Linked DNA regions of Canis lupus familiaris. The protein of the gene in region 1 purifies or fractionates together with the protein of each later gene. This does not show direct contact. Links are inferred from orthologs where the notes say so. Each region holds a gene or a part of one and is shown on either strand. Other genes may lie near its edges. The genes, in order: FBXL13 and CETN2.

What was found.
Region 2: the proteins of FBXL13 (region 1) and CETN2 purify together in Homo sapiens (affinity purification with mass spectrometry; 3 studies listed by BioGRID and IntAct, counting the BioPlex papers as one, with this or other methods). This does not show direct contact. The link is inferred for Canis lupus familiaris from reciprocal best matches to the Homo sapiens genes FBXL13 and CETN2.

What each region holds. Positions count from the first base shown.
Region 1 is NC_049239.1:17,297,635-17,302,206, reverse strand, and holds the start of FBXL13 (dynein regulatory complex subunit 6), read right to left. Parts: upstream 3,035-4,572; 5' UTR 2,982-3,034; coding exon 2,907-2,981; intron 1-2,906. Other genes in the region: ARMC10 (armadillo repeat-containing protein 10), read left to right, coding at 3,487-3,625. UniProt on the Homo sapiens protein: Substrate-recognition component of the SCF (SKP1-CUL1-F-box protein)-type E3 ubiquitin ligase complex.
Region 2 is NC_049260.1:122,023,791-122,028,316, forward strand, and holds the start of CETN2 (centrin-2), read right to left. Parts: upstream 2,825-4,526; 5' UTR 2,785-2,824; coding exon 2,686-2,784; intron 1,769-2,685; coding exon 1,610-1,768; intron 1,299-1,609; coding exon 1,170-1,298; intron 1-1,169. UniProt on the Homo sapiens protein: Plays a fundamental role in microtubule organizing center structure and function. Required for centriole duplication and correct spindle formation. Has a role in regulating cytokinesis and genome stability via cooperation with CALM1 and CCP110.

The DNA.
Region 1 (4,572 bases):
AGGAAATGATAGACAAAATAGCTGAAAACAGGCAAAATTTTAATCAGAATGTGTAAAATAGAATCGGCTGATATTCTAAAACTGAAAAATATACTGTTTGAAATTAAGAATTCATTTGATATACTTATTAACAATATCCTGGACACAGCATAAAACAGAATCAATAAATTTGAAGACAATCATGAAAAATATCCAAACTTGAGCACAAAGAGAAAAATAAGGAAAAAACAGAGCAGGGGGTGGGGAAAAACTAACATAATTACGATTGCAGTCCCAGAAAGAGAAAGGAGAATTGGGTAGAAGCATTATTTGAAAATGATCAAAAATTTTCTAAAACTGATGGAAAATATCAATCAATAGAATCAGTAACCCAATAAGTCAAGCAGGGTTGTGTTTTGTGGTTTGTTTGTTTTCTTTAAATCAGCCTCTATGCAGGGGTTTGCAGGGAAATGACATCCAGGTTTTATTCAGGATAGGCGGGCGAAATTCAGACGAGGTTAAATATGCAGGGAAGTCCTGATTTAAAAAAAAAAAAAAAAAAATGTATGTATTCCAAAGCTTGCCGAAGATGGGTTTTAGAGGATTGCTAGTCCTGTTGAATCGGGTCAGATGAGTAGCTGTGTAGGGATATGAGGCTCAACGGGTTCATCCTGATAGTCCTTTAGGGGAAGTGGGTAACCAGGCTAAGGAGGGAGCGGGGCTCCCAGAAGCCTGCTCTCTTGCCCCGCTGGTAACGTGGTCAGAAGTGACGGAAGGGCTCATGAGAATATCGCCTTCAGTGAAGGGCACTTCTGAGGGCTCCCCTTCTCTGGGAGCAAAGCAATGTGGTAGGCTGGTGGGCTAGGGTGCTCTCACCCAAAGGAGGAACCAGGGATGCCTCTACCAGCTTATGGGAAGTGGAGAGCAAGGTGAGGAAAGGCTATCACTTCTCTGATGCTCCCGGACCCTCAGCTCGAGCCCACTTTCTGCTATGTATCTCACAGCCAACCAAGACAGGGTCATCGCAGCTATTCTGAGTGATCTAAATCTTAAACCCAAATATTCCACTTTCGGACCCCTACCCTCCTATTTTTCCAGCTCCCACACTCAGTTACTCCTGCTAATCCTCTTTACTCCTTAGGAACCTCCACTTTCTACCCATGTATCATATCCGGTCCCATTCTCACCTCATACCCAGTCCCTTGGCCCATCACTCAGGTACCCTAAAAAGCTTAGCTCCTTCCCCGCTGCCCCTCCACACTATATGCCTGGCCAACACCTCTCCTGGATGAAGTCAATCTTATTTCTGTACCTCTATTGGGTTTACTGACTGCTACTTAAGGAAAACCAGGGCAGCTCTGATGGCCCAGCGGTTTAGTGCCACCTTCAGCCTGAGGTATGATCCTGGAGACCTGGGATTGAGTCCCACGTTGGGCTCCCTGCATGGAGCCTGCTTCTCCCTCTGCCTGTGTCTCTGCCTCTGTGTGTGTGTGTGTGTCTGTCATGAATAAATAAATAAAATCTTAAAAAAAAAAAAAAAAGAAGAAGAAAAGAAAGAAAAACTACACCCTGGGGAAGATGAGTGCCATGCTCTCTACATATTTTGAAATATAATCGTGTAGAAGTAAAACATGAATGAGACTCAGCAGAAAAAAAGTAAAACAATACACAAGTATACACAGCAAAGAAAATTAGGGTTCTCTCCTAAAAGCATTCCCCCCAAACATTTGCTATTAATAGTTTTGCATATGTTCTATGCATGCATTATTATTGTCTTAAACGTCGCTACACACAGACATAGGAAATCACAGTAGGGATCCCTGGGTGGCTCAGCGGTTTAGTGCCTGCCTTCCGCCCAGGGCGTGATCCTAGAGTCCCAGGATCGAGTCCCACATCCGGCTCCCTGCATGGAGCCTGCTTCTCCCTCTGCCTCTCTCTGAGTCTCTCGTGAATAAATAAATAAAATCTTTAAAATAAGAAAAAAAAGGAAATCACAGTAGCTACATTGTAGGAGACACTTCTGGGGCAACTTGCATTTTTCTTCTTCTTTTAAACTATGTCTTGGAGAGCTTTTCTTCTCAAAAGGTATACACATACTTTATATACTATCTCATTCCCTTATTCATATAGAAGTTATTTACTATTTTCACCATAATGAATATCCTCGGACAGCTTTCTGGATACACGTGAAAGCCTATCTCTCCAGTGGATCCCTAGAAGTGAAATGTTTGGTCAAAGGCTATATGTAGTCAACATTTAATAAATTTAAATTAACCATTCAAAAAGGCTGCACCGAACTGCCCTCCCAAGTGCACAGCAGTCACTTTCGCAAGCTGGGCTCTCAGGGCTGCCGGGCTCTCCTCGTCTCTTTCCCCAGACTTCTCTCCCCCTCAGTCTCCACACACGTGTCTCTGCTCAGACCCCTTCTGCAGCCTCCAAACCCGCGCAAACACGCACGGCTTAGCATACGTCTCACCAAATCTTTGTCGAGAAAATGGCAGTCACCGGGTCTTGCTTTCCTAATCCCCAAACCTACAAAACCCGCCGGGCCTCTCCAGTCCTTCCTGCTGTAACGACGGGGGGAGGGGCCCCTGGTCAGGCAGGGTCGGGCTGTGGGGTCGGGGCCTGCCGCCTGGCGCCCCCAGGCTCCGCCTCCCCCGGGGCCCGCCGCTGCCCGCTCGCTCTCCCGACCACTTGCGCATCCTCCTGCGGCCCCGGGCCTCTTGCCCAGACCTTAAGTGCGGGGCTCGCGGTTCCTGTCCCGGGCCCCGCGCCCCGTGCTCTGGCCTCCGAGCCGGTCCGCCCCGGGCGCCGCGCCGCCTGCCCTCTCCGCCCCCGGCTCCCGGCCGGGCCCAACCCCCGCCCCTCCTCCCGGACGTCTTCGGGCTCCGCTGCTCTAACGCCGCCGCCGCCGCGGGCTCCAGTACCTCGCACACCTGAGGAATGTAATTCTCCTTGAAGTAGCTCCTCAGCCGGGAGTCGGCGGTGCGCAGCGAGGCCATGACCGGGGCCCCCCAGACTCCGCGCCCCGCGCCCGCTAGCGCGTCCCGGCGTTGCCCTGGCAACCGCGGGGCGGGGCGGGCGCGGCCCCGGAGCCCCCCGCCCCCGCCGCCGCGAGCCGCCGGGAGCCGCCGGGAGCCGAGGAGAGCCGCCGGGCGTGGAGGCGGGCCCGAGCCCGGGCGGGAGCGAGGGGAAGCCCACCTCTGGACGGGGACCGCGTCCCCCAGTGAGTCCCCTCGGTGCGCGCGGTCCCTGCGCCTCCTCGCGGAGCTCCGCCCTAGCTCCGCCCCCTCGCTCCGGCCCCGCCCCCGCTCCGCCCCTGCCGCCCCGCCGGGCCGCTCGGGGCGCAGTGGGCGGTCCCTCCGTGTCAGCAGGGCCGTTTCCGGGAGGCGGGGCTCGGGCCCCATTTCCTGTGTCCTCCCGGCGCCGGCGCTCGGGCTGAGGCGGGATCCGCGGCTCCCCGCCTCGCGCGCCAGGCCCAGCGCAGCGCCCCGGCCCCAGGGCAGCATGGGCGGCGCCCGGGACGTGGGCTGGGTGGCGGCGGGCCTGGTCCTCGGGGCCGGTGCCTGCTACTACATTTACAAGCTGGCGCGGGGCCGGCGGCGAGGCGCCCGCGGGCTTCGGCTGCGCCCCTCGCGCTCGGCAGGTGAGGCCACGGGGTGCCCGGCAGGTGGCCGGGGCGGGGGGCGGGGGCGGGGGCACGGACGACGGCCCCCTCGCTGGGGCTCTGAGCTGCCGCCTGCGTCCACCTCGTCCAAAATCCCGGGGTAAAAACGCCCGGATTTTCCTGGCTGAGGGCGGCGTCCCCGCGGAGGATTGGGTGGTTTCTCAGAAGCGCGTGGGTTGCCCCTCAGGGTCAGGACCCGCCGCGGAAGGTGCGGTGGTGCCTGCGGCCGCCCCTGAGGAAGGAGGGCGGGGGCCCCGCCGCGGCGCGGAGGCCCGGGGACTCCCTGCGGTTCGGTTACGAGGTTGCGGAGGTCCCGGGGCCGCGGATGGAAGCAGCTGCCCGCGCGGGGAGCTGGGGGCGCCCCCCCCGCGACCCCCCGCGACCCAGCGCCGGGGTGGTTGCTGCCCCAAAGCCGGTGGTGCATCGGGATTCCGAGGATTTGCTGGGTGTTCTAGGATAGTGCGGGTCACGGATGCCAACCAAGAAACTCCTCCCTACAAATGGAGGAAAGAACTAAAGCTTTATTGTTGAATAAGCGCGACTCCAGATTGCCGTGCCCATCACAGGCGATCAGCTGATGGGATTGAGAAGACACACGTGTCTTCACTTCGTGTATCTGGCGGATAAAGTCTGTTTCGTGTCATCTCTGCATGTTCTGAAGATAAACAGGAACTTGTCCTCAAGAGGGCTTGACAGCACCATTCACACAGAGTCCATCCTAAATTCGCTGGTAATCGGGGTGGCTATCGCTGTTAGCTAATTGCCTTGATCCAGAGGAAAATAAGACTTCTCGGGATCTTTATGATGAGCAGGTGGTTACCACGTGGAGCCAGGCGCCAAGGCTAAACTTAGGGGTCTGCGCTCCATCTTTTGATGTTTACATTTCACATAGATGACCCCAAAAGCCCCTAAGAATGACTTTCTTA
Region 2 (4,526 bases), on another chromosome or scaffold:
TGGAGCCTGCTTCTCCCTCTGTGTCTCTGCCTCTGTGTGTGTGTGTGTGTGTGTGTGTGTGTGTGTGTGTGTCTCATGAATAAATAAATAAAATTTTAAAAAATAAAATGGGGACAAGTGAGGCACTAGGGAATGGGTGACTTCAACCTTGAAAGTGCTGAAAGGATGCAGTGAAACGCTGGGACACCTGCACCCCGATGTTTACAGCAGCAATGCCCACAATAGCCAAACTGTGGAAGGAGCCTCGGTATCCATCGAAAGATGGATGGATAGACAAGATGTGGTCTATGTATACAATGGAATATTCCTCAGCCGTTAGAAACGACAAATACCCACTATTTGCTTCAACATGGATGGAACTGGAGGGTATTATGCTGAGTGAAGTAAGTCAATTGGAAAAGGACAAACATTATATGGTCTCATTCACTTGGGGAATATAAAAGTTAACAAAAGGGAATAAAGGGAAAGGAGAGAAAATGAGTGAAAATATCAGTGAGGGTGACAAAACATGAGAGACACCTAATTCTGGGAAATGAACAGGGGTAGTGGAAGGGGCGGTAGGCGGGGGGTTGGGGTGACTGGGTGATGGGCACTGAGAGGGGCACTTGGCGGGATGAGCACTGGGTGTTATACTATATGTTGGCAAATCGAACTCCAAAAAATAAAAATAAAAAAATAAAAAATAAAATCAGAAAAAAAGAAAAAAAATGAAAGTGCTGAAAGGCCAAATTCCCAGTGTAGTGGAAAACACAGCTGTCAGAAGTCACCCGCCCTCAGGCTAGAGCCGCCCAGAATCAGAAACGAGAGAGAAAAGAATTTTGACCTTTAAAGTATAGGCATTTCATATTGTCAGGCAGTGCAATATTGCTGGTGTTTACAGGTTTTACTGCTTGTGGTCAGCACGTTAACACATCAGTTGGAAAAAAATAATCACAAAAGAGTGACAGCAGTTCTCTTACTCAAAGGGTAAACTGACTTTTCCTGTGATTCTGTGGCCTTGAAGAGAGCCAGATAGAACCTAAGCATCCTGTCAGTCATAAGTACTGCCCTTTTTCAGCAGAACCCTCCAGTTGGTATTAACCTTTCTTCAGTGAAGACATTTTTATATCTAGATTCAAATTTGTTCACCAATATGGGTGGAAAATAGGCTGATTATCCTAGTAACTTACCATTTTCTGAGTCATCACAGTCAAGAAGTCACTAAAGTTCATTTTTCCTGTCCCTTCCTTATCGATTTCACTTATCATTTTTTTGATCTCTTCTTTTTTGGGTTCAAAGCCCAGTGCCCTCATTGCCACCTACAATGAAAACAGGATCATGTCAATATGCACATCAAAACCTGGCAGGAACAAAAATGACAGTGAGAGCATGAGGCCAGCATCTGACACAATCATGTTAAAATGACTGGGAAACACTATAGCGTTATGCAGATTGATATTTGTGCTCAATTTTATTTTATAACACTTGAGGTAAATAAAGACAGGAGAAGAGAAAAACAGGAAAACTTTTTGCAGGGAAAAGAGGGCAAAAGGGGTAGAGCAGTGACAAGGAAAGAAGAGAAAGAAGTAGAGGAAAGGAAGGCAGTACAGTGGGAATGTAAAGGGCTTGCCTTAAGTTCCTTTACGTCTATGGTCCCAGTTCCATCAGCATCAAAGAGATCAAAAGCTTCCCGGATTTCCTGTTTCTGCTCTTCAGTCAGCTCCGGCTTAGGACTCATCCTTTTTCGTTGGGCAGATGATGCCATGCTTGCCTTCTTAAAGTTAGAGGCCTTTAGGTGTTTTACAAACACAGAAGTACGATATTAAGTGATGCAATCCATATTTTACATAAAATAGTTACAAATATTTACATAAAATATTTACACCAAGCAATTCCACAGCTTTGCTTAATAGGAGAGATAACAGGGCTTTACTTGAAACAACAATCTTTCCGTGCACCGCTATCCCTCCTTCTTTTTTCCTATTCTTTGTAGAAGCAAGGAGATCCCGTGTTCCTTTGCACATCTCTTATTGAAAATCATCCCCAAAGAGATCCAGCCAAGGAGCTGACTGTGGATAACTGTACAGATGATCAGCTGTCCTTGAATTTGGCGATCCTAATTCAAGAAAAGCCCTTACAACATTGGCTCGCAGTATTCCTCCTCTCTGTACTCCAACTTTGTGATTACTTCTACATTTGGCCCAATATTACTACTTTGCTAAGGTGTATAATAAAATTCCATCCACTAGGCAGGTCTGTGCCTACTTTAATTAGATCAAAACGTCTCCCGAAAGATCCCTGTATTTATTCAGAATGCACGTTAACAATCAAACATAATAAACCTCCTCCCAGGTCTGTGGGTAAACTTTGGTAGCACGAAGCGACCAGGAGGTCAGGGTCTGAGAGGTCAGAGCCTGCGGGTAACCCGAGTATTCTTTGACCAGGGGCAGTCACGCGGGGGCTGGCAGGGGAAGGCCACGCGCGCCCGAGGGATGGGTGGGCGCAGACTGAACGAAGGGGAGGCGGCGCAGGACCGCAGGCCCAGGTGGCGGCCGACGTCTCTACCCTACCCTTCCGGGAACTAGCCGAGAGGAAGTAGGGGCACTCCAAAGCCGAGAGCGGCGCGGGAGCGACGGCAGGGCCACACGAAGCCTGAGAAGGGCTCAGCCCCTGGCCGCGGGGCACCAAAGGGCGGCCCCCACTCACCATTGCCGATGGACTCCGCGGACCGTTGTTACGGCAACCGACGTACACACTGACTCGGCGCCTTTCCCACCGCCCCGCGCGCGCGGCTCCGCTCCCCATTGGCAGCCCGCTCGCCGCCGCTGCTCCCCATTGGCGGGGAGCCGTGGTGGGTGGGGCTAAGCGGACAAAGGCCAGGCCCAGGGCAAGGGGGCTGTGCTTTCACAGCCGAGGCCTGGCCTCATTGGACAGGATCACATTGTGAGCGCCGATTGGCTGAGCCGGCGCCGAGCTGAGCCAATCCCCTTGGCGGAGGCATCTCGGCCGATCCTCGGCTCATGCTGGTGGGGAGAAAAGGGTGACCGCCAGCGGCCCGAGGCCTTTGGGTGCAAGCTGAGGGCGCGCGGAGGCTGGCCGGGGGGTCGCCTACGGACGGGTAAGGGTCACGACCTCACCCTCGGAGGCTGCCTTCTATCCGCTACTGGGTGGGAGGGTAGGGGGCTGGGTGGGGCCTTCCGGTTGGGGGCTTTCTGGTCTGGCTTAAGACTGAATTTGGAAAGAGGGGCCAGAGAAGACCGTGACCTTGAGGGTCAGAGCAGAGACTGTGCTCAAGGGACAGCAGAGCCAGAGAAGGGAATGGGAGTGTCGAGGAGGTGTGGACAGCTGCGACTTAGAAACCGAATCCCGCTGAGGCTCTCCCTTTGAGGGGGAGTTTTGAGGGAGTGAAACAGATATGACTGAGCATGAGGGGAGAGGTCATCAAAATGTACTTTTTGACACCCACTCGGGCGGAGACACTGAGCAAAGTCACACAAGAGTTTTGAAAGTGTGAGGGGTGCCTGGAGACTGTTCTTTTATAAAACTCTGTTAAATTTCTTTTGTTTTCTTTAATCATGATAAGTGCAGTCTTTATTTCCCATCACCAATGTAACGTATTCCCCCCCCCACCTCCCCTCTGGTCACCATCAGTGTGTTCTCTGTAGTTAAGAGTCTGTTTCTTGGTTGGCCTCTCTTCACCCCCCCCCCCATGTTCATTTATTTTGTTTCTTAAATTCTACATATGAATGAAATCATATGGTATTTGTCTTTCTCTGACATTTCACTTGCCATAATATTCTCTAGCCCCATCCATGTCAATGCAAATGGCAAGGTTTCATTTTTTATGGCTGGATGGTATTCCCCACACACGCACACACATACACACACACCCCACATCTCCTTTATCCACTCATCTGTTGATGGACACTTGGGCTGCTTGCATATCTTAGCTATCATGAACAATGCTGCTACAAACATCAGTGTGCATGTATCCCTTTGAATTTGTATTTGTGTTCTTTGAGTAACAGTAGTGCAATTACTAGATCATGAGAGTAGTTCTATTTTCAATTTTTTGACGAACCTCCATACTGTTTTACGCAGTGGCTGCACAGGTTGCATTCGCACCAACACCGGGAGACGGTTCCCCTTTCTCCACATCCTTGCCAGCACCTGCTATTTTTTGTGTTGTTGATTTTCGCCATTCTGGCAGCTGAGGGGATGTCTCATTGTAGTTTTTATTTGCATTTCCCTAGTGATGAGTGATGTTGAGCATCTTTTCATGTATCTGTTGGCCATCTGAATGTCTTCTTTGAAGAAATATATGTTTATGTCTTCAGCCAATTTTTTAATTAGTTTATTTGTTTTGGGGTGCTTACGTTGTATTAGTTCTTTATATATTTGTGGATACTAGCCCTTTATCAGATACGTCATTTGCAAATATCTTCTCCCATTCTGTAGATTTCCTTTTAGTTTTGTTGATTGTTTCCTTTGCTGTTTGTTGGTTGTTTCTAGAAACTTGGTGTTTTGATGTAGTCTCGATAGTTTAT